Linked DNA regions of Ovis aries. The protein of the gene in region 1 binds, or shares a complex with, the protein of each later gene. Links are inferred from orthologs where the notes say so. Each region holds a gene or a part of one and is shown in the gene's direction. Other genes may lie near its edges.

What was found.
Region 2: STRN4 (region 1) and STK24 share a complex: the UniProt entries of both Homo sapiens proteins name them as parts of the core of STRIPAK complex. The link is inferred for Ovis aries from reciprocal best matches to the Homo sapiens genes STRN4 and STK24.
Region 3: STRN4 (region 1) and STK26 share a complex: the UniProt entries of both Homo sapiens proteins name them as parts of the core of STRIPAK complex. The link is inferred for Ovis aries from reciprocal best matches to the Homo sapiens genes STRN4 and STK26.
Region 4: STRN4 (region 1) and STK25 share a complex: the UniProt entries of both Homo sapiens proteins name them as parts of the core of STRIPAK complex. The link is inferred for Ovis aries from reciprocal best matches to the Homo sapiens genes STRN4 and STK25.
Region 5: STRN4 (region 1) and STRIP2 share a complex: the UniProt entries of both Homo sapiens proteins name them as parts of the core of STRIPAK complex. The link is inferred for Ovis aries from reciprocal best matches to the Homo sapiens genes STRN4 and STRIP2.
Region 6: STRN4 (region 1) and STRIP1 share a complex: the UniProt entries of both Homo sapiens proteins name them as parts of the core of STRIPAK complex. The link is inferred for Ovis aries from reciprocal best matches to the Homo sapiens genes STRN4 and STRIP1.

What each region holds. Positions count from the first base shown.
Region 1 is NC_056067.1:53,621,638-53,625,907, reverse strand, and holds the start of STRN4 (striatin-4), read left to right. Parts: upstream 1-1,470; 5' UTR 1,471-1,501; coding exon 1,502-1,786; intron 1,787-1,842; exon of another isoform or gene 1,843-1,887; intron 1,888-1,932; exon of another isoform or gene 1,933-2,193; intron 2,194-2,283; exon of another isoform or gene 2,284-4,270. UniProt on the Homo sapiens protein: Calmodulin-binding scaffolding protein which is the center of the striatin-interacting phosphatase and kinase (STRIPAK) complexes.
Region 2 is NC_056063.1:74,803,233-74,806,732, reverse strand, and holds part of STK24 (serine/threonine-protein kinase 24), read left to right. Parts: coding exon 1-124; intron 125-1,239; coding exon 1,240-1,308; intron 1,309-3,085; coding exon 3,086-3,222; intron 3,223-3,500. UniProt on the Homo sapiens protein: Serine/threonine-protein kinase that acts on both serine and threonine residues and promotes apoptosis in response to stress stimuli and caspase activation.
Region 3 is NC_056080.1:102,807,049-102,810,548, reverse strand, and holds part of STK26 (serine/threonine-protein kinase 26), read left to right. Parts: intron 1-2,254; coding exon 2,255-2,485; intron 2,486-3,500. UniProt on the Homo sapiens protein: Serine/threonine-protein kinase that acts as a mediator of cell growth. Modulates apoptosis. In association with STK24 negatively regulates Golgi reorientation in polarized cell migration upon RHO activation.
Region 4 is NC_056054.1:373,827-377,326, forward strand, and holds the end of STK25 (serine/threonine-protein kinase 25), read left to right. Parts: coding exon 1-101; intron 102-465; coding exon 466-611; intron 612-743; coding exon 744-858; intron 859-1,026; coding exon 1,027-1,098; intron 1,099-2,223; coding exon 2,224-2,360; intron 2,361-2,488; coding exon 2,489-2,528; 3' UTR 2,529-3,020; downstream 3,021-3,500. UniProt on the Homo sapiens protein: Oxidant stress-activated serine/threonine kinase that may play a role in the response to environmental stress.
Region 5 is NC_056057.1:95,040,512-95,044,011, forward strand, and holds part of STRIP2 (striatin-interacting protein 2), read left to right. Parts: intron 1-1,054; coding exon 1,055-1,175; intron 1,176-2,138; coding exon 2,139-2,202; coding exon of another isoform or gene 2,203-2,207; intron 2,208-2,398; coding exon 2,399-2,510; intron 2,511-3,209; coding exon 3,210-3,337; intron 3,338-3,500. UniProt on the Homo sapiens protein: Plays a role in the regulation of cell morphology and cytoskeletal organization. Required in the control of cell shape. Calmodulin-binding scaffolding protein which is the center of the striatin-interacting phosphatase and kinase (STRIPAK) complexes.
Region 6 is NC_056054.1:87,345,647-87,349,697, forward strand, and holds the start of STRIP1 (striatin-interacting protein 1), read left to right. Parts: upstream 1-1,251; 5' UTR 1,252-1,263; coding exon 1,264-1,443; intron 1,444-4,051. UniProt on the Homo sapiens protein: Plays a role in the regulation of cell morphology and cytoskeletal organization. Required in the cortical actin filament dynamics and cell shape. Part of the striatin-interacting phosphatase and kinase (STRIPAK) complexes.

The sequences.
Region 1 (4,270 bases):
AGACAGACAAAATCCCTGCAAACAACTTACAGATAGAGCAGGAAAACAAAAGGGGGCTGTGAGAGAGAAAAAGTGGTCAGGTGAGGAGAGGACTGTTAAGCTGAGACTGTCCTACCATTGCCCACGAAACAGTGTAAGGGGATCTATGCTCACTTCAGGCCAGGCTTCACCTGGCTGCAGCTCTAGAATGGTAATGTAATGGATAAAGAAAACATCTGACATGTGGAGAAACCTTTGGGGACAAGGGCAGTTTTCCCGTGATTGCTGGTAACACTGAGAGATTTCTTACCTTTTAGGTTGCAGGATAAGGGAGCTTCAGGGGAGCAGTTCCAGCCCAGCTCAGCTGCATCGCTGAGGAAGGAGAAACCAGGAGACCCTCAATCAGTCAATTTCACACAATAGAACACAATTTCATCTCACCTACAAAAGTGAGATGGGAAGGATGTCATAGCAATGTATAACCACCTCTTCTTTCATAAATGTGTCCAGAAAGGTAAGACTAGAAGTGACAGAAGGTATTACCATGACAACCCCTTCCCTAGATCCACTCCATCCTGAGAGACAATCTTAAAATGTCCTTTACCTTGGTGGGTCTTAGGGTCACTGGAAGGGGGACTGCCCCCATTACCATAGTAACCAGGACTTGGCTTTGCTTGTTTCTCACCTCTCTGGGGATGGTCCAGGCCTTGTAACCATAGCAACTACTTCTCAGCAGAGCATCTCCTCTAAATAAAAACACCTGGTTGGTTTGGTCCACAGACCTCCCACGATGGGAAAGGGGAGATGGTTACCATGGTAATGCCAACTGTGTGGCTGGGGGGAGGGGCTGGGAAAGAGCTGCTTCCCTTAGCACTGTCCTTGGGGCTGGGGTCCTTTCTCCCTGAGGGCTGGGTGAGGTTGCCATAGTAACCGATGTGGGTAGGGGCATAAGGACCACCAGAGACTTGGGTTACCTTAGCAACCTCTTCCTGGTGCAGGGCCAGGAGAGAGTTGGAGCTCCATAACCACAAAGGTGGAAGGGAGAGGAGGCTAAGGGTGTTCCAGATTGGGAGGAGTTACCATGACAACCGACCTGGGCCAGAAATCAGGATGGGGCCATTGCTGAAACCACCCCTGGTGGTCGTTCTTTCCCTCAAAGAGTGACAGTGATTGTGGAGGAGAGTGCTATTTGGGTCTGGAGAGGGCTAGAGTCTTTCTTTGGGATGAAACGGGAGGAGGGGGGTAGAAAGCGGTCCCCCCCCCCAAGTACCGCGTTTCCCATGGGCGACCCTCGCGCGGAGCCTGGGTCGCGTTTGCCCTCCTCCGGGCGCGCGCCCCCTTTCCGCCCCGCGCCCCCTCCCACGCGCGCGCCTTCGGGGTCGACCCGGGTGGGCGAGGCGCGCGCCCGACTTCGTTCCCGTCACCCGCCCCCCCGGCCCCCGCCGAGCGCGCGCGCGAGGGCTGGCGCGGCCGCGCAGGCGCGCGAGGCACAGCGGGCGCGCGGGCCGGCCCCGGGGCCTCCATGATGGAGGAGCGAGCGGCCGCCGCCGTCGCCGCCGCCGCCTCCTCCTGCCGCCCGCTGGGCTCCGGCGCGGGCCCCGGCCCGACGGGGGCGGCCCTGGTCTCCGCCCCCGCCCCGGGGCCCGGCCCGGCTGCCAAGGGAGGCGGCGGCGGCGGAGGCAGCCCGGGTCCCGCAGCGGGACCGGAGCCCCTGAGCCTGCCCGGGATCCTACACTTTATCCAGCACGAGTGGGCGCGCTTCGAAGCGGAGAAGGCCCGCTGGGAGGCCGAGCGCGCCGAGCTGCAGGTGAGCACCGCCCCGGGACCCCCGGCCCCCGCCCGCCCGGCCCGGCCCAGCCTCACCCGCCGCCGCCGCCGCCGCCATCTTGGAGCAATGGCCGCCGGGACGGCCGGGGGGGCGGGCGGGGACGGCGACCGGCCGGGAGCCGGAGTGAGGGGCCGGCCGAGGGGCGGCCGGCGGCGGGAGGGCGGCCCGCGCGGTCGCCGGGAGGAGGCGGCGCGGGGCCCCCGGGCCTGCTGGAAGTGGGAGCGAGCCGGCCGGCGGAAAGGTTCCTGGGAGAGGGGCCGCGGAGCCCCGAGGCGCCCCGGGAGAGCTCCGCGAAGCGTTGGGAGGGGATGAGGGGTCTTGTGTACGAGTGAGCCGGCAGCTCCCAGGGTGCCGCACGAGGGACTCCCCATTCCGCCCCCGACCAGGTGCGCGCCGGAGGCGGAGCCCGATGGACCCCGGGCGGGGGAGAGGGGGCGTCGGGGGTGACTGCGATCAGCCGGGGGCGAGAGCGGGGCGGGGAGCCCGCGTGAGTCGAGAGAGGAAGTCAGGGAGCCCGGGACGCGTGTGTGTTTCGGAGCGTTTGGACTGGAGGGACTGAATGACGGTGGTGTTGAGGACTCCAAGGATGCGGAGCAAGGTCTCCGGGCGCGAGGTGGGGGGCGTGAAGGTGTGTGTCCTCTCCTCTGAGGAGGAAACTTTGGGGAGCCCTGGCAGGCCTGGCTTCCGCGTGCAGGGGAGGGGTCCCAGGGTTGGAAGCACGGATGGAGCCAGGACGTGAGCCAGGAGCCTGTGTTGGAAGAGAACGGAGAGCCGAAACTCTTTGGGGATGTGGGGGCCCCCGCCGTGAGATGGGAGGTGAGGTGTGTGGGATGTCAGATGGAGAACCCCCGAACTGGAGTATGGGAGGGTCAAACTTGGCCAGCTGTGGAGAGGGGCGGTAGGATGGAGACAGTGAAGAGGAATCGGGGAACCTGGGGCATGGCAAGGGGAGCCTTTTTGGAGAGCAGGAAGACAGCCAGAGGAAACATTTCAGAAGGATCCTGGGGTGGGAGGTGTTTGTGGAAGTTTCTGGGAAAAGATCCTATGGTTTGTGGAGTAGATTCAGGGAGGAAGGTGTCCTGAGATGTTTGGAAGAGGCTGAGGAGCTGGGCTGGGTTTTGTGACCTTGAGAACTGTGGGTCGATTAGCAGAGTGTCCTGAGGAGCCTGGGTATCCCAGTGGCGAGGATTTGGAGGGTTGGGGCATTGTTAGCAAAGTCAGTATCTCCTTCTAGCATCTGGTCTTTCCTCTTTTCAGTTGCTGTTTCGTATCTGGTTGAGGTGGGGACCCAAGTAAATAACCAGATTAGAATTTTCTCCCTAGGATGATTAAAGAGAGCATCCCACACTTCTCCCACCCTGAAAGGGATCTTCACTGTGTGGTGGCTGAGGCTTGGGGTTAGAGTGGGAGAGAAAGCCTTACCTAAGTACCCCTTGCTATGATATCCCATCTGTACGTCTTATTAGATCTTCTCAATACCCCCATTGTGAAGACAGGGCCAAGGACGTTGCCCTTATTTAGCAATTATAATAGCAGCTGCTGTTTATTGAGTTTGTATTATGGGTGAGACACTGTGTTAGACACAGCAGATACATGGTATCACTTAGTCCTTGCAACATTCTGGGAGGGTGAGGGATGTTATTCCCCTTCCCTTCCTTTTCAAAAATAAAAGAGGAAGTGGAGACTTTGAGAAGGTCAGTCGTATATCAAGGATCATAGCCTGTGGGTGGCAGGGGTGGTCTGTGGACTTTCAAGCCCATACCTGTCTGACGCCCAGGACAGATGACAGGCTTGTTTCAGGGAAGCTCAGTGACCTTCCCAGGGTCATCCAGGCGGCCATAGGAGACGAGGGTACCCTGCAGCACCCACCACGCCGCTGCCTCACCTTTGAGACCAGCAAGAGGAACGATGCGTCCAGGCTCCAGCGTCGTTTACTTTGTACCCCTTTGTTGTTATCGTTCTGTTACATTAGTAAATTTCAAGGATCTCAGAAGTGCCTGTGTGTGTAGATGTACACACACCAAGTGAGTGAGAAGGGAAAGAGCCACTCCCCGAAACCCTATTATTGCTATAAAAGTAATTCAGCTCTGTGTGTGTAATATATGAAATCCTATTCAGTTCAGTTCAGTCGCTCAGTCGTGTCTGACTCTTTGTGACCCCATGGACTGCAGCACGCCAGGCTTCCCTGCCCATCACCAGCTCCCGGAGTTTACTCAGACTCATGTCCCTCAAGTCGGTGATGCCATCCAGCCATCTCGTCCTCTGTCGTTGTCCCCTTCTCCTCCCGCCTTTTACATGCTATTACATGCATCATTTTGTGACTTATTTTCACCTACTTATATATCTTTGCGTTTTTTTCATATGAGCACACAGAGCGCTTATTATTTTTGGGAACTGCACCCCGCCGGTGTCTGCACCACAGCTCATTTAGTTTGTGTCCCCTTAATGGATTTTTTGGTAGTT
Region 2 (3,500 bases), on another chromosome or scaffold:
GGACACAGACGGCCAGGCTTCTGGAGGCAGCGACTCGGGGGACTGGATCTTCACGATTCGGGAGAAGGATCCAAAGAGTCTGGAGAACGGAGCTCTCCAGCCATCAGATCTGGAAAGAAACAAGGTGAGTCTGTGCGTGCGGAGAGACTAGCCCTCGCCATCAGGACTGGCGGCGTTTCGGAGCCGCTTTGGCATGAAGCCTGCTGTTCTTGTGGGCCGCCTGTGTTGGAATTTTGCTGTCAGGAAGCCGCAGATTAAGGGATTCTGTTCTGTCTGACTACCCGGCGAGGCTGGGCCGCGAGTCTGGGTGCTGGCCTGGTTCGCAGTGCTCCTGCTGCTCTCTGTGGCCGCACCGTGAGCTCAGCGTTTCTGACACTGGGTTGTAGGGGGTGGGGAAGGGTGGCTGGGAAATGCCCAAGCTTATGAGCTTTTGACGACACTCTGCCTCTGGCGCACAATGGCGTTCCTCATCAAGGCACCGCGATTTGAGGATTGAGTTTTAAGGAATCTTAAACACATCGCTTTTGGTACTTCCCTGGTGGCTTAGGTGTTAAAGAATCCGCCTGCCACGTGGGAGACCCAGGTTCATTCCCTGGGTCGGGAAGATCCCCTGGAGGAGGGCACGGCAACCCACTCCAGTATTCTTGCCTGGAGAGTCCCGTGGACAGAGAGGAGCCTGCGGGCTACTGTCGTCCACAGGCCACTGTCGCAAAGAGTCGGACACGACCGAGCGACTGACAAATGTAATTTTCGATGACTTGGTTTTGTGCCTGTTGGCATTTATGAAAAACTGTATATTTTGAGGGATCGTTTTGAAGCACAGAGGCATAGTTTCTCCTCGGCAGAGCGGACCAGTGGCTGTCCCCTGGCGACCCTAGAGTCCCGCTCTGAGAAGCAGGCATCATTACGTGTTCAGGTGGAGGCTGCAGAAGAGGAAAAAGGCAGCGCTGTCCTGTGGCAGCCCCTTGTGGCAGCCAGCCCTGGCGTGAGCGCTGTCTTTAGGCCCTCTCCACGTGTGCCCAGTGGTGCAGTTTTGGCCCTGCCCGCGTCCACACAGGACGCCGCTCCCCGGTGCGCCATGCCTTTCCACGAGGGATGATATCTGTGGCCCCCGTAGTCAAGCAAAACACAGTGAGGCAGCCCTAGGCAGCTGCCGCTGCGGCCGTGTCTCAGAGTCCAGTGAACCCCGACAAGTATGGATGTTAGAACATTTCTCATTACGTTTTCTTTCCTCCCAAGATGAAAGACATCCCAAAGAGGCCTTTCTCTCAGTGTTTATCTACAATTATTTCTCCGCTCTTTGCAGAGGTAAGATGCCCAGTGGACAGTTGGGGGCCAGGTGAGAGGGGAAGAAGGGGGCGCAGGCGTTCATGTCTCTGGCAGGGCTGCCTGTGGAATTGGGGAGGTCGGAGCTGCCGGCGCAGTGGGCTGTGCTCCTGGAGGCCGGCTGGGCCAGGTTGCCTTCCAGGAGGGCCTCCTGCTTTCCCAGGGCCGTCTTCTGTCCAGCCCGTTGTCCTGGGAGCTGTCGCCATGGGGCTGCCAGCAGCGTTCACAGGGACTTAGCAGCCTGGCCCCAGTCCACACATGGACCAGGACCGCTTGAACTTCAGTTGTGCTGCTTTCTATAGAACCTGGTTGGGTGCAACCTGGCGCCTCTGCTTCTGCCAGACTTGGGTTCAGTTCAGTTCAGTTCAGTTGCTCAGTCGTGTCTGACTCTTTATGACCCCATGAACCACAGCACGCTAGGCCTCTCTGTTCATCACCAACTCCCAGAGTCCACCCAAACCCATGTCCATTGAGTCAGTGATGCCATCCAACCATCTCATCCTCTGTCATCCCCTTCTCCTCCTGCCCTCAATCTTTCCTAGCATCAGGGTCTTTTCCAGTGAGTCAGCTCTTTGCATCAGGTAGCCAAAGTATTGGAGTTTCAGCTTCAACATCAGTCCTTCTAATGATGGCAATGTGAAAAGTAGATGTTTACTTTAAGGGGATATCAGATTGCCTGGGGTTCTTAGGTTTCCTGGGGAGCCCCCACAATAGGGGCCTCACCCCGCAGGGCCCCTGATTGCAGCCACTGCATCCCGGTGCCCTCTCGGGGGACCCCGCTCCCTGTAGATGGGTGCGTGCATACAGCATTCAGAGGTGTTTCGAGAGTGGGTCTTAGGGTGAATGTTGTTCTTCATCGGGTTCGTACCGACAAGGAGATGAGTTGGAAATAGTCTCCTCTGACACTACCCTGTGGGTTCTCCTGGCTCACGCCGCCTTTAAGGTAATTCCGAGTGAGCCACACAGCCCCTTCTGTTCAGGTCGGGATCAGAGCTCTCCAGGGAGACTCTAGCCGGGGCTCCTCGGTCCTGGCTGGGGTATCCTGGGTGGGAGGGACCCACAGGCTCATCCCTGGGCTCTGCTTGGCCTTGAATCCCCCTTGGGGAGTTCCTGGCTGGCAGAGGTGCTGAGGGGACACCGGCTCCCCAGGATTTAGGGCTGCCACCCAGTTCCATGGGCTTCCTGGTGGCTCAGCTGGTAAAGAATCTGCCTGCAGTGCGGGAGATCTGGGTGTGATCTCTGGGTCGGGAGGGTCCCCTGGAGAAGGGAAAGGCTGCCCACTCCAGTATTCTGGCCCGGAGAATCCCATGGACTCTGTTTTCCATGGGGTCGCGAAGAGTCAGATATGACTGAGCGGCTTCCACTCACTTTTCACTGGTTCCATGAAGTCGAGTGTTCTGGCAGCACCCCAAGGCCTTAGCCATCTGCCTGGTAACCCCGGGAGCTCCGAGTTTCCAGCCTGTGCTGCAGCTGCGGCTGCAGACCAGAGCCGAGTAGGCATGGGACGGCTTTGCTGGTGGTTGAAATGGAAGAAGGAAGCAGAGGGAGTGGATGAAGAGGTGCACAGAAGCCCCCCTCCCCTGGGGAGGGCAGAGACTGGGGCCTGCCCGGAGCTCTCAGCCTCCAGAAGGGAGGGGTCCGGGCTGAGGCTGCCGGGGCCCCATGGCCGGAGCAGGCATGGGCCACACATCATATCACAGATGCCCGTGGTTTCTCATCCTCGGGGGAGTCACGCTGGCCCCGCGTCTTGTGTTCGCAGCTGAAGGAGAAGAGCCAGGCGTGCGGCGGAAACCTGGGCTCCATCGAGGAACTGCGCGGGGCCATCTACCTGGCGGAGGAGGCCTGCCCCGGCATCTCGGACACCATGGTGGCCCAGCTGGTGCAGCGGCTGCAGAGGTGAGAGGCGTCTGTGCCCAGTGCCCTTGGGCCGGGGCTGGCTGCAGAACTGGGGAAGGGAGGGGGTTCTGCCCTCGAGAAATCAGTTACGGGTGAACTGTGTGAATCAGGGCTCTCCTGGCAGGGCCCAGAGACCTCTGTGGTTGTAGCACTTGTCTCATAAACACTGGATGATGTCAGGGGCGGGTGCTCTGAGCTTTCCAGATGCAGCCTCGTGCCCAGCTGGAGGGGTGTGGTCCTGAGCCCGGTGTCTGTAACTCCTTGTTTGGGTTTGTGCT
Region 3 (3,500 bases), on another chromosome or scaffold:
TTTATTATAGAAAGCGAGAACAGCTGTGTTCTCCCTCGGGGTGGTTGTTTCAGTCAAATCCTTTTAAAACATGAATTAGGAAGATTAGGATTTAATCTTTGTTTCTTCCAAGAACAAAAAAAATCTCATTATACAGTTAATATACTCCTGGTCCAGAATGTGTTATCAGAAAGTCCGTATTGTCTACTTTTTAATCAATGGTATATTTATAACTTTTAGAGTATTTTGTAGTTACATCAGGAAACCTGAAAGATTTGCTCTTTTTATTTTTCCAAATTCACTGAATTTAGGGAACTATAAGGTGATGAACCTATCACTGAGCTGTTTGGTGAGTATTTTTGCCACAAGCTACTAGAAAGAAAGGAACCATTACCAAAAGTAGGAAGAATAATTTGTGGGTTAGCTATTATGTGATAGTAATCACAATGTCTTGGTAAGAAATTAAGCACCAAGTTAATCAATAGTGATGGTACTCAAGTTTTGTAAAAGGTATTTTATAACAAAATGTTGGCATTAAAGAAACGTTTGCAATTTAAAGAAGTCTAAACTATTTTTAAAGCCCATATGGGCAGCTGAAGATGTATTTGTCCCATGTGAGTACTGGAGGTGGGTGGAGATAACAAGTAGCTTGCCATACCAAAGAGACTATGGCATACATGGAAAATTGTCTTTTAAAAATGGAAAAAGTCCAATCAAGGAGAATGGGTAAGCTTGTAAATTAAGCAGGTCATGTGTAAACTGTCTTTTAGGCAGGTCGAAAAGAGAAAAATTGGTGAAATTCTTTAAAATCAGTCATAAGTTTTTAAGTTACTCAAAAGCGGGCAGTTTACTGTGTCTGTTTGGTGATGATGGTACAATGAACTTGAGAGAAAATTAATGTTAATGATCTATTTGTCTAATAAAAAAGATATTAGAGGAACATGCTAATAACTATAATTTGCCTCCTGAAATTGATGACCAGGTTAAATTGTAATAAATGAACAGATAATCTAGGTGCAATTAACAAATTAAATATAGACAAGTTAGAACTATATAACATTCTTCTATATTTTGAAGGAATTCAAAGTAAAGTTTTAGTTGTAGACTAATAAGGCAGTTAAGTGTAAATTAGATTGACATGTACACACTACTATTATATTTAAAATAAAATGCCCTTCCATGAAAAAGTAAAATTAATTAATAACATGACTTTTGGTTTGGAAATAAGGTTTGGAAATCCTTTTTTCTACTTGATCAGCAGTATATATTCAGCAATATGAATTTAAGTAAGGTTAAGGGTTATCCTATGGGAGTCAAATTTGAAATAAAAATTGTGCACTATTAAATAAAGGATATTTCTGAGTCAGGGAAGGACAGTGAAGTTATAAAATCTAAGTCTTGCCAATACATTTGTTAACCTGAAAAGTTATGCTTGATTCAGATTTTTCTGTAGAAAAATATTGACTTATTCTGGAATTTTATTTTCAGCCATTGATGAGAGCATTACATACAAATGAAAGTTGAAAGTGTTAGATGCTCAGTCATATAGCCTACTCTGTATGACCCCATGGACTATAGCCCACCAGGCTTCTCTGTCCCTGGGATGCTGCAGGCAAGAATACTGAAGTAGGTAGCCATTCCATTCTCCAGGGGATCTTCCCGAACCAGGAATTAAACCCAGGTCTCCTGCATGGCAGGCAGATTCTTTACCATCTGAGCCACACATACAGATAGGATCCCAAATAAAGAAGAAGGAAAAAAAGACTTGTAGATTCTTGGGTCTTTTGTGTTGTGTGTTGTTTACATGGTGGTTTTCAAGTACAGGTGCTGTGATTGGGTTGTCCAAGTCGGAGAGTTTAAAGGTAATATTTTGCTGGTGGAATGTAAGAATTTTAATGACGCCCCTACCTACAGTAGGTTAGGTATTCTCTCACTATCACTACCATTGTACTAATGTGTAAATTGTATATAGTCAACTGCTTTATTCTAAAAAGAGTCTGGCCCTTTGGCATGCACCAGAGACAACATTTGCTGTATGAGATCGTTTCTGATAGCAGGATCAGCTAAGCCCATTTAATGTGGGTGATCCAGTAGAATATGGACTACCCATTTGGGTTACAGTTGTTCTAACAAAGCACGTGTGGAGAGTCAAGGGAATTTGTATGCTTTCTTTTAGGTAAATGTGATATTGTCTTACATGATTTATTTTCCTTCATTTAAAACTTTGATACAAAATGTTTGTGTTCTTCCCTTTCTTCTCTCCCTGCCCCCTCAGAATAATATAGCCGATCCAGAAGAGCTCTTCACGAAATTAGAACGCATTGGAAAAGGCTCCTTTGGAGAAGTTTTCAAAGGAATTGATAACCGTAGCCAGCAAGTGGTTGCTATTAAAATCATAGACCTCGAGGAAGCCGAAGATGAAATTGAAGACATTCAGCAAGAAATAACGGTTTTGAGTCAGTGTGACAGCTCATACGTAACGAAATACTATGGATCATATTTAAAGGTAATGTGTGCACTGGATCATGAGGTACTTTCATTATGAGTATTTCTTTCTTTTTTTAATTCTGTTTTTTGAAAGGCAGTGTCTTAAATTAGGATTTGGCAGCCTTCGGCCTTCAGGCAGAATCTAGCTCCATTTGTAGGGCCAAAATAGATTTAGATTTAGCAGCTGTGTCCTGAATGCATCCAGTACTCAGCTGTACCATTTTTCCACACCTGAACTTTTGGGTTGATGGAGGAGCAGAAAGGCAGCTGAGCCTTGACACATAACCTTTGTCAGGAAAGAGCTTTCTTCTTGGACTTTCACACATTACTCTCAATGGCCCAGTCTATCTCAACCTCAGAATTGATGGCATATGTATTGTAAGTATGTCACTTGTTCCATTGAGTTATGGTGGTTATTTACACAACTCTCCCTCCGTCTAGATTGTGAGCTTCTGGATATCAGGGAGTTTAGTTCAACCTGTCATGTTTTCACATCACATAGCACAGGGCATGGCACATCTTCAGCACACGATAAATACTTGTTGAAATGTAATTAAATAGAATAATATCTAACCCCACCACCAAAAAAGTTGGATTTTTAGTTTCCAGGGTTATAGAATTAACAGACACCTAAAATTCCAGCAGATGGAGGTATTTCTGCATCACAGAAAACTCTTTGGTGAGTTCTTGGGTTCCAGAGTTAGAGTCAAGATTTGTATCTATTGAAATATAAACAATAAATAATTAGAAAAATCTAGCTTAGAGTTTAAATTATTTTAAAATTTAAAAATATATCCCCATATTGATATTTTTCAGAGGAAGGCAGTATTAGTTAGATCTTTGATTTTCAGGGCTTATAAGAGGGAAGGGTTTTTTTGTTTATTTGCTTTTCTATCTCTAGGCCAGAAGGGTGTGTTTATAACCCATTAGGCTCTTGGCCTGCACAAAAGTTAATGCTGTCTTTTTATCCTTTTATGTTCTGCTGGGATAAACTGTATTAGTTAATACTCATATAGATATTCATTATCAATTTC
Region 4 (3,500 bases), on another chromosome or scaffold:
TGTTCCTGATCCCCAAGAACAGCCCGCCCACGCTCGAGGGCCACCACAGCAAGCCCTTCAAGGAGTTTGTGGAGGCCTGCCTCAACAAGGACCCCCGATTTGTAAGCGCCTCCTGCCCCCAGCTCGTGAGTGGTGAGGGGGCCTGCATGGCTGAGTGTAGTTGGGGCCCCTGGCACTGGGCTCCAGAGGACAGTTGAGGGGGGTGTGTGCACGCGCATGTGCGTGTATGGAGTGGCGTGCTGGCTGTCTGTAGTGGGAGCTCAGAGGTGACAGGGCCAGAGGCCCCTCCGCTGTGCCAGGGCGGGCTCCTCTGTGCCCCCAGCCCAGGCCAGGAGGGTCTGGAGGGAGGCCCTTCCCCTGGGGAAGACAGTGTGGAGCCACCCAGCCCCCCTAGGCGCCCCTGCCACCTGGGGTCACCTAGGCTCAGCTGCCCGGCGCCTGGTGACCCCTGTGCGTCCCCGGCAGCGGCCCACCGCCAAGGAGCTCCTGAAGCACAAGTTCATCACGCGCTATACTAAGAAGACCTCTTTCCTCACGGAGCTCATCGACCGCTACAAGCGCTGGAGGTCGGAGGGCCATGGCGAGGAGTCCAGCTCCGAGGACTCCGACATGTAGGGCCTGCTCTTCCCGTGGGGCTGAGGCGGGCTCTCCAGGGCAGGGGTCGGCCTTTGGGGCTGTGAACCAGTGCACCTCAGGGCCTTCCTGACCCCCAGCCCCGTGTGACCTCCCACTGTCCCCTTCAGAGACGGAGACCCCGAGGATGGAGAGCAGGGGCCCATCTGGACGTTCCCCCCTACCATCCGGCCGAGCCCGCACGGCAAGCTGCACAAGGGGACGGCCCTGCATGGCCCCCAGAAGGTCGGCCTGGCCCCGGGCGCGCCGTAGGGAGCGGGCTGTGGGGGCACCTGCTGGGCACGCCCGCTCCCCCAGGGTGGCTCTTAGGAGACCAGACTTGGGGGGTGGCTTGCAGTTGCCCACGCCCCGCCATCTCTGCCCTGCTCACCTCCGCATGCTCTGCGTTTGTAGTCGGCAGAGCCCGTCAAGAGGCAGCCGAGGTCACAGTGCCTGTCCACGCTGGTCCGGCCCGTCTTTGGAGAGGTGAGGGCCAAGCTGGTGCGGCACAGGGTGTCTGGGTCCCTCGGGGCTCGTGAGGTTGGCCCCTTGGACCCGGCGTTTTGAGTGGAAGGACCAGAGATGGCCGGGATAAGCCGGCCTCAGGTGACCCTCAAGATCCCGAGCCTGCCGGGGTCTTCTGGGGCCCCGGGGGCTTTGAACATGAGCTGCTATCCTGGGACCTGTCACCTAGAACCACAGACACGGGGTGATCCTTCGTCTAGGGAGAGCCTGGGAGATTTCTGTCTTGGGTGTCAGGCCCTGGACAGGGAGCCCTTAAGGGCCGCTGCCCATTGGCCACGTGGCCCAGCGTCTGTGTCACTTGCTCAAGGGCAGTCAGCAGCATCCCCAGGGGTGAGTCACCAGCAGTGGGCTGTGGCCAGGTTCACACCCAGGGTGACGCTGGCCCTGGAGCCCGGGAGCAGGGGTGCATGTTGAGAGGAGGCAGCGGAGCCGCGCCAAGGGAGGTGGGGGTGGGCAGGCTCCCACCCTGGGCCCGCGGTGCCCGGGAGGGGAAGAGGGCAGGTGGGGAGGGGAGCGGGTGGAGGCGGGCTGTCCATGGGCACGGGGGCTCCTGGGGCCATGCAGCAGCGCTCTGGGGCTGGCACCTTTGGGGTGTGAGGTGGGTGGGAGGCGTGGCCACAGCCGGGCTGGCTGGGCCCCCTTCGGGTTCCTGTTCTGTGGGCTGGCCTGAGGTCAGGCTGCCGGGTGGGTGTCCAGAGAGGTGTGTGCCCTTTGCCCCTTTGTTCTGTGTGCTGGGCGAGCAGGCTGACCCGTCTCCAGCCCCCCGGCCAGGCTGCTTCCTCGTGGGGCCTCCACAGCCACGGGGTGTGAGTGGGCCCCTAGTCCCAGTGGCCAGGTTGGCGGGGCTGGCCGGGCCACTCACGCACATCTAGGCTGCGGGCTTCTGCGACTGGGGTTGGGAGAAGGCTCGTGGTTGGAGGAGGGGGGGCCAGGGCAGGCTGGGAGGCCCCGCCCGTCCTGGGAGCCCCTCCTCGGCGCTCGGGGGGACAGTGGGGCAGCGCTGCCTCCTGCTGCGCGTCACAGGTCGGGTGGGGCGGGGAGGCGCCCCCTTGGCCCCCAGTCAGGTGCCTGGGGGTGTCCGTGCAGCTTAAGGAGAAGCACAAGCGCAGCGGCGGGGGCGTGGGGGCGCTGGAGGAGCTGGAGAACGCCTTCAGCCTGGCCGAGGAGTCCTGCCCAGGCATCTCGGACAAGCTGATGGCCCACCTGGTGGAGCGGGTGCAGAGGTGAGGGCCTGGGGGCGGCGGGCTGCTGTGGGTCCTCCTCACCGGGCGGGGCTTGGCTCTGCGGGTCCTGTGTCCCCCGGCCTGGACCGCGCCCAGGGCGGAGCAGTGACCTGGCCTCTGGTCTGCAGGTTTTCCCACAGCAGAAACCACCTGACCTCAACCCGCTGAAGCCCTGTCTGCACCCGGGAGGAGAGTCTCCACCTGGAGCCGTGTGGTCGGGGCTGTGCTGACCAGGGCCCTGTGCCATCCTAGCCTCACCCCATGGGCCGTGCCCCCGCCCCGCAGAGGGCCGTGCCCTCCCACGCCCCCTCCCGGCTAGGCCAAGGCGGCGGAGGCGGCGGAGGCGGCGGGCTTGGTCTCCTTGAGGCCCCGAGGCCGGGCTGGCCCCTGGGGCTCCGCTCGCTGCCAGGCGGAGGGGCAGGGACTCGCGCGGGGCAGACCTGCCACCTCCCACCTGGCCCGCCCACCCTTGGCGGCCGTAGGTTCGCCTCTGCTGCTGGAGCAGGCACTGTGTCTTCTCATAAGGACTCGTGTTGGCCAGATTGTTGTTTTTTTAAGAAAATCAAACCTCCTTGCTTCCCTAGGTGTTCTGAGATTAAGGTGTTAGTTTTCACAGCATCTTGAGAGGCTCCTGCCACTTTCAATAAAGACCTGAACTGAGATGTGCTGGTGGCGGGCGGGGTGCTCAGGCTCCAAGGCCTCCTCACCCAAGGTGGGCACGAGCGGCCGCTGGCCGGAGAGCTGGCGGGGCAAGGCAGCACGTGGGACCAAGCATGAAGAAGCCTTTTATTCTCAGCCACTCGGCGCATGAGCACCGTACACTTCTTGGGATAAATTAGAGGGGCTTGCTGTCCACTTTTCAGAAGTGTGGGCCCGGGGGCACCAGAGAGGCTTCTGTGCCTAGACCCCTCACATCACCCAGCCTGACGGGAGGCCCGGCCCAGGAGGAGGAAGAGGAGGGCAGGTGGTTGAGGGCGGGGCAGCGCCAGCCTTGCCTGCACAGAGCGCGCCTGCTCCCCCTGCTGCCCTCCTGGCGCCTCGCGGGGCCCAGGGCAGCCCTCCCTGCCAGGTGGCGCCGGAGGCTCGCCTGCCACCAGTCTCCTGGGGGAACAAGCAGTCGTGGGGTGCGTGCTGGCCTTG
Region 5 (3,500 bases), on another chromosome or scaffold:
TCCTTAACCTGGGCTGTAATTGTTTATAGAGAGGGTCACTGTGACCAGAGCTGACAGTGTACCACCACTAGCTGAGCTTTCTTTCTCCAGGTTTGGCCTGGCTCTGACAGGGGATGCAAGGGGGGATGCCACCAATTTACATTGTTTCTCACTGGCGTTTACATGGTCCAAGCCAGCACAACAGGAGAGGATGCTGTGAGTGATTTGTCACTGAGATGACCAGAGCTCGGTGAGATTAACTGATGAAAGCGTCCCAGAAGGCACCTGTGAGCCAGGTGCTGGAAAGAGAAATGAAATAGCTTAGCTGAAGTAGTAAAAGAAAGCCCTGAGATCATAAATAACAGGGCTGCTGGCAGAACCAATTAGTTAGAAGCTTAAAAAAAAAAAAACTAAAAAAAATCATAAATGGAGAGGAAAGAAAGGTATCTGGGGAAGGAAAAACTGTAGCAAACAAGGCAGTGCCCAGCCCTGTCTCTTGGGTCTGGTGCCTTGGCCAAGTTCCAGCTGCCAGTCCCTTCATCTTTTTGCTTGAGGGCTTTCTGTGCAGCCCACAGAAGTACTGGGGGACTCATGTACTCCCCTTATACAGTGCATTCCTCAGCACCTGCCAGGAGTTAGTGGGTGAACTGCCTCAGCCCTCTTGGGTGGGATAATTCCAAGTTGTTTGTTTTATACTGTTCTCCAGAGCTTCTCCTCACTTGGAATTGAGTTCTTGGCTGCCTTCTCTTCCCTATGTCACTTCCCCACTTCTCTACTGATAATTCCTGGGATCAACTCCCAAATAAACTACTTGCACTTGAATCCTTGTCTCTGGACTTCCTTCTCATGGAACTCACTTAAGACTGCCCACCTATGAGCACATTGGACCTCACCCTGCAGACTGCTTCTCTCACCTGCCTCATTCTGGGAAGTTCTGGGCAGCTCCTGCCCTACCTTTGTCCACCTAGTTGTTGGGTAGAGTGATAGAAGATAGTCTTAAGATCATGGGGCAAGGTGGAAAGAACCAGGATAACCCCCTCCCCCTCAACCTCTGTGGCCCTGTCTGGTCCTTTAGGCACTTTTGGGGAATGTGACTCAGAGGTCGATGTGCTCCACTGGTCCAGGTACAACTGCTTCCTGCTCTATCAGATGGGGACCTTCTCAGCCTTCCTGGAGCTACTCCACATGGAAATCGAGTGAGAAGCCTTCGGGGAGGGCTGGCCACCCCTTTCCTTGAAGGTTGCCCCATGTCCTCAGCTGGTTCCCTCACTGTAGAGCCTTTTTTCACATTTCAGTCCAGAGCCCACTGATAGTTCCCCTCCACCAGCCCTGCGCTCTGATAGTCTGTCCTCCTCCCTGAGGTTGGGCTCAGCAGCAGCTTCTACCCCATGTACAGCTTCAGCGCTGGGCTTCAGGGGCCTGTCCTGTGTTGCTTTTTCATTCAGACACCTCAGCTCAGCCTCCCTCTGGAATCCATGAAGAAAACTGTTCTCCCTGAGAACATGACATAGAGGGATGGGACCAGTTCCCATGGCTGTGCCCAGTTCTTTCCCCCATGGTTATAGCTTCAAAGGTGGCCTTATCTACTGCTCCCGCTCTAGTGACCCCCTCATGTTGACTCCCTGGTGGCTCAGACAGTTAAAAAAAAAAAATCCACCTACAATGCAGGAGACCCAGGTTAGATCCTTGGGTAAGGAAGATCCCCTGAAAAAGAAATGGCAACCCACTCCAGTATTCTTGCCTGGGAAATCTCATGGACAGAGGAGTCTGGTGGTCTACAGTCCATTGGGTCGCAGAGTCAGACATGACTGAGCCACTAAGACTTCATATTGTCTCACCCTATCACTCAGATGTTTTAGATGGTGTTAATTCTGTTTATTATTCACCAAGCATTGTTTTGTGTATAGCACAGTGCTAGACACGGTGGGGATTTTAAGACAAGTGAATATCATAGACCCTACCCTTTCTTGTCTTCACTGTAGATAAGGATTTGCTGAGATAGCAGGAAGAATTCTATGGGCTCCTCTACCTTAAACCAATTTCTTTAGCTACATGGACAGGGAATGGCAGGTACTCATGTTTGTGCATGTGGTAAGAGTGGAATACAGGGAGTAAAGAGGCCTAATGAGTTCCTGTTTTCTCCCTCGTCCCTGTGGCAGCAACAGCCAGGCCTGTAGTAGTGCTCTTCGGAAGCCAGCCATCTCCATTGCTGACAGCACAGAACTCAGGTGAGTAGGGCTGCCCACGGGATTGGAACAGGGGTCATTAGCAATGAGTAACCTTTGCCCAGATTTCAGATGCTCCCAGACTGCTAGACGTTCCTAATTCTGCTGGACTGGGCCCCCACAGAAACCACGCCTGAGGTCTCAGACAACAGATTGGTAACTGCCATGGGAACCTCTTGTGACCCTTCTGTAACCTCAGGGTGCTGCTGAATGTCCTGTACCTAATGGTGGAAAATATCCGCCTGGAGCGAGAGACAGACTCCTGTGGGTGGAGGACAGCCCGGGAGACCTTCCGCACCGAATTGAGTAAGAAGTGGCATGCAAGGAGCCTAGGGCGGACGGGAAGCATAGCATCTGCTCAAGAGGGACAGACAAGTTTTCTTTTGTCGTCGTCTTCTTTTAAGAATTAACATCCCCTCTTTGAGGACAGAGATTCTATGTGGCAGGCATGACGGCCTGGCATGAATGCCCCTCTCTGAGTGGAGCTAGGCCCACTCATATATCTTCTCTGTATTTTGGTTTTCTTTATTCCTATAAGTGGGAAGTCATCCCTCTCCCCTTCCATCACAAATCCCACATGAAAAAATGAGGTGCCTTACCTTGAAAATATAAGTTGGTGTTGCCCTCAGTCAGGGATGAGATATGAAGGCCTTTGAGATTTTTAAAAATACATTTGTTGATGTGGGAAAGTGAATTGTGACCTACAAAATGTTTGAGTTCCTCAGCCAGAAAGCATCTTTATTACTGTTAACTTCTAGTTTGACATCCACCCCCAGACATTTTACCTCCATGACCTCTCTTATCCTGCCCTTGGTGTGGCTGCGGGGGGTGGGGTGGGGGGGTTCCCCAAAGAGGCTCTCTAAGCCTCCTTCTAAGAACCAAGTCCTCAAATTCTTTGCAAGGAGGTGAGTGCCTTCCTCAGTGTGTCCAGAAGCAGAGTTACAGGAACTGGGTTTCAGCGGCTTCATCTTCATTTTCTCGCTTGCCTCTCTCCATACCTCCCAGGCTTCTCCACGCACAATCAGGAGCCTTTTGCCCTTCTGCTTTTCTCTATGGTCACCAAGTTCTGCAGTGGCCTGGCTCCCCACTTCCCCATAAAGAAGGTCCTGCTTCTGCTCTGGAAAGTAGTCATGGTGAGTGGCTGATTCTCTCCCTCTCCCGTCTCATCAGATAGGCAGTGCCTTCTGCCACCACAGTTTTTTCTGGTCTGATTCCAGGAGGCTGGAGCTAAGCAGAATAACAGGGCAGCTGTTAGCCAGTGGACAGGCAATAGGGCTGTCCTGGAGAAATCAGAGG
Region 6 (4,051 bases), on another chromosome or scaffold:
ATGTCCAAAACAGACATCTTGATCTTCCTCCAAACCTATTTTCCTCTGACTTCTCTATTTTAATAAGCAATACAACCACCCACCCAGCTGCTCAAGCCAAAAATTTAGGACTCATCCTTTATTCCTTCCTATCCTGCTGATAGGATTCCAGTCTTTCAGCAAATCTACCTACACAATACAGAAATACCACATCAACCCAATGTTCCAACCTGGCGTAAGACACCATCATTTCCATCTATATAGTCTCTGAACCTGTCCACCCTCACCTACTCTTGCAACACCCCAATGCTTTCTCCAAAAGCAGCAGCAGGTCAGCACTTTCTGATGGTTTTCCATTTTACTTAAAATAAAATCCAGAGTACTTTCTATGCTTTTCTAGGCCCTATATTTATCTGGCCCCTGCATTTACACGGCCCTCATCTCCTACTGTTCTTCTCCTGGCTCACTCAGTTCCTGCCAAGCCACCTAGGAGGCTCTGCAGTTAGCTGGTCCCTCTATGTTACCTCCATGGATATTGGCATGGCTCTCCCTCACTTCTTTCAGAACTCATTCAAAATCACTCTCAGCCCCTCCTTCCCTAAGCAGCCTACCTAACATAGCCCAGCTGTACCTCGATCACTGTCACCTTCCAATGCCTTACAGTTTCTTTCGTTTCTTCTCAGCACTTATTTGTGAGCGCATTGTCTGGCTCACCCACAGGCTCTATGTTACAGATCATTTCACTTTTTTCATTAGTGTAGGAACTTGATTTTGTTCCCCATTCTCTTGCACTGCCTTTAGTCTAAGAGACATTCATTAAATGTTTGTTGAATGAATGATTAAAAGAATGTCGTAACTGTAATTGTTTCATTGATTTACTCATTCCTTTCCCACGTCTCCCCCACGTGAACGTAATCTCCATGAAGGCTGGGATCGTGTCCATTTTGTTCTCTACAATATCCCGCAAGCTTTGGACAGATCTGTGAAAGTAACAAGAGCAAAGCGATGTTAAAGGAAAGAGGGGGGTTCCACTAAACTGGCTGAGGGGCTAAGGGAGGTTTTGCAGATAAAACTGCGATCTCTAAACTGGAACCGAAACACAAACTAGAAGGGTAAGATTTCACAAACAGAGAAAATCTCGCGAGGTGTTGGACAGTCAAGATGGCGCTGGCATGTGCCGCCACACTTAATATGGCGACCAGGGCGCGTTCCGGGACGAAATCACGCGAGAGTTGCATCACAGCCATAGTCAGTGAATTGAGCCGGGGGTGTGGAGCCGCCAAGATGGAGCCGGTAGCCGGCACTCCCGGCCCGCTGATCATGAACAACAAGCAGCCTCAGCCGCCGCCACCTCCGCCGCCTGCAACCGCGCAGCCTCCACCTGGGGCACCGCGGACCGCCGGAGGTCTCCTGCCTGGTGGCAAAGCCCGAGAGTTCAACCGCAACCAGCGAAAAGACTCGGAGGTCAGGAGCTTCGGGGGGCGAGGCTAGCACCAGGCGGGCGGCGGCGGTGGACCCCGGCCCCATTTCTGGGCCACTTTCGGGTCCAGGCTGGGTTTCCTGGAGGGTTCGGCAGGGGAGTTGTCATTTACAGCGAAAGGAGCAGGAAGCAAGGCTGACATCCCCGGGAGTCGGAGGCGTGAAGCTGGGGTCCCCGACCCGAGCTCTGCCGACCGGGAGAACCTCCCGGAGCCCGTATTGGCTTTTCTGAGGTCCGGGCTGTGGGCGCGGTCTCCGGGCTCCAGCCCCTGGGAAGTCCGCCCCGTGCCCCATTTCTCGGGTGAAGAGTCAGTGACCTGCGTGCGCTCTAGAGGGCGGGGCGGCTACACCCCAGACCCCCTAATCATCTCCAGCTTCTGGTCCTGTGAGTTCCGCGGCGCACGGTGGCGGGCATGTGTGGGCTGGGAAAGGACTGGCGAGGGTTGGGAAGGCACCTCCGAGAAGGACTGAGCTAATTAATTAGCACTAATAGTATCAATACTACGCGCCTGTAGGTCGCGATGGTTGGAAAGGGGAGCAGTCTTGTTCTGCTCTGAGCTTAGCCACTGCAGATTCAGGCCACGGTTAGACAGTGCCCGGTGGTTGGTGTGCCCAGTCCACCCGATGCTCAACTGTTAAAGATCAGAAATAAATTAAACAGGCGTTGAGGCTCAACATCTCTCTTCTCTTGTTTAGTGGGCTGTTCCTCCCATTCCGGAGACACCGTAGTCTGGAGCTGACTAGTCACCTCACCCCGAGTTGAAGAATTACTCCCACTGCATTCCATTGTAGAATTCATGAATGAAGACACACACGTAGCAGCGTTTTAGGGCTTCTTAATCAGCATGTTCCCAGAGCACTTACTAGGAAATTTCTTTCACCTGAGACAACCCTGAGGCTGATTAACAGTCAGATGCTTATTAATGAGAGGGCATTTTTTCTTGTCCAGATATAATGTATCAGGTCATACCTGAGTGATGATGCTATCTTTAGACACCTGAAATCAGTACCTCTCAAGCTCTTGGTTTTGTTGGCAAGAACAAACCTCTGGTCAAACATCAAAATTTGACAAGTTCCAGTCAGATGCACTTTGAGCTTGAAGTGAATTATTTGAAAAAGCAATGAAACCGACCTTTTAGTAGCCCTTGCATGATGGGCTGATTGCACATCAGTGGTGACTGCTTAATAATTTTTCAAGTATGGAGGATTTTAAAAGTGGTAGGGATGAATCCAGTTTCATCATCAGAGGCATCGTAGTTGTTCAGTAGTTAACAATTTTCCTAAGTGTTTCTATTAAATGTACTTTCTACCCTTTAATTTCTATATAGATTCAACACATGGAAGGTCATTCAGTGAACACATTTAAGCTGAGAGACCTGTCAGAATCTATTTTCTTAGAAATACTGATACAGCTCTCTTTTGAGTCAAAGCTGAAATCAGTAGGCTGGGAGCCAGAGGCGTGCCTGCAGAACAGGGAGGCAGGTATTTGACGAGAGCCCACTGTGCGGCATCGTTTTAATTAGTCCTTAAAAAACCTTCAAGATAGATTTTTGTCATCCTCATTACATAAATGAAGAAACTGAAGCTCAGGAACTTATGAAACTGTGCAGCCTGTTGCCTCTGAATAAGAAGTAGAGTTATTTATGTTACTCATGTTTGAGGGTATGTTATGTCATTTTGTGGGTGGTCATTGTCTTCCCAAGTAGATAGTAATTAAGCTGAGGACTACCTTTTTCTTCACCTCTGTTCTTTTCCCAGAACAAGGCTTCCCAGATGGTGTGTTCTCAGTACTCACTTATTTCCAGCAGTAAAAAGATTCTTTGCCATAATCTCTCCTATGTGTGGGAGGGAAACCATTTCTGTTCAGCTGCTGCCTTCTCTGTCAGTTCTTGCTGAAATTTGAGAGAAAGGCAGGAAGACTGAGGGTGTCAATACTTATTTTGTACTGAGCTGTTGATAGCCCACTTGCTAAGTCACTTCAGTCGTGTCCGACTCTGTGTGACCCCATAGACGGAAGCCCAGGCTCCCCCGTCCCTGGGATTCTCCAGGCAAGAACACTGGAGTGGGTTGCCATTTCCTTCTCCAATGCATGAAAGTGAAAAGTGAAAGTGAAGTCGCTCAGTCGTGTCTGACCTCAGCGATCCCATGGACTGCAGCCTTCCAGGCTCCTCTGTCCATGGGATTTTCTAGGCAGGAGTACTAGAGTGGGGTGCCATGGCCTTCTCCCTGATAGCCCACTAGCCAGAAAGAAACGAGGCTTCTAAAGCCTTAGTACCATGTGGAATGATCATTTCATTGCATGGAACACATGGAAGCTTTAGTGTTCATTTATCCAACAAGTTGTTATTTGAGTATATGCTCTTCATTCAGTCACCCATGCCAAGTACTGTGCTGAGCATTGTGAAATCATGGGTGAGAAGAATGGACACTAAACAGACGCACAGGCGCATGTATAATTATGAGTTATGATAAGTGCCATGAAGGAGTAGTGCAAGGGGCTCTGAGAGGGCTTGGTAGGGAGAGCCGAACTAACCCAGAAGACAAAACATTGTGAGAAAACGTCAGAACAGTGAAGGCAGCGATGTGCTGTAAC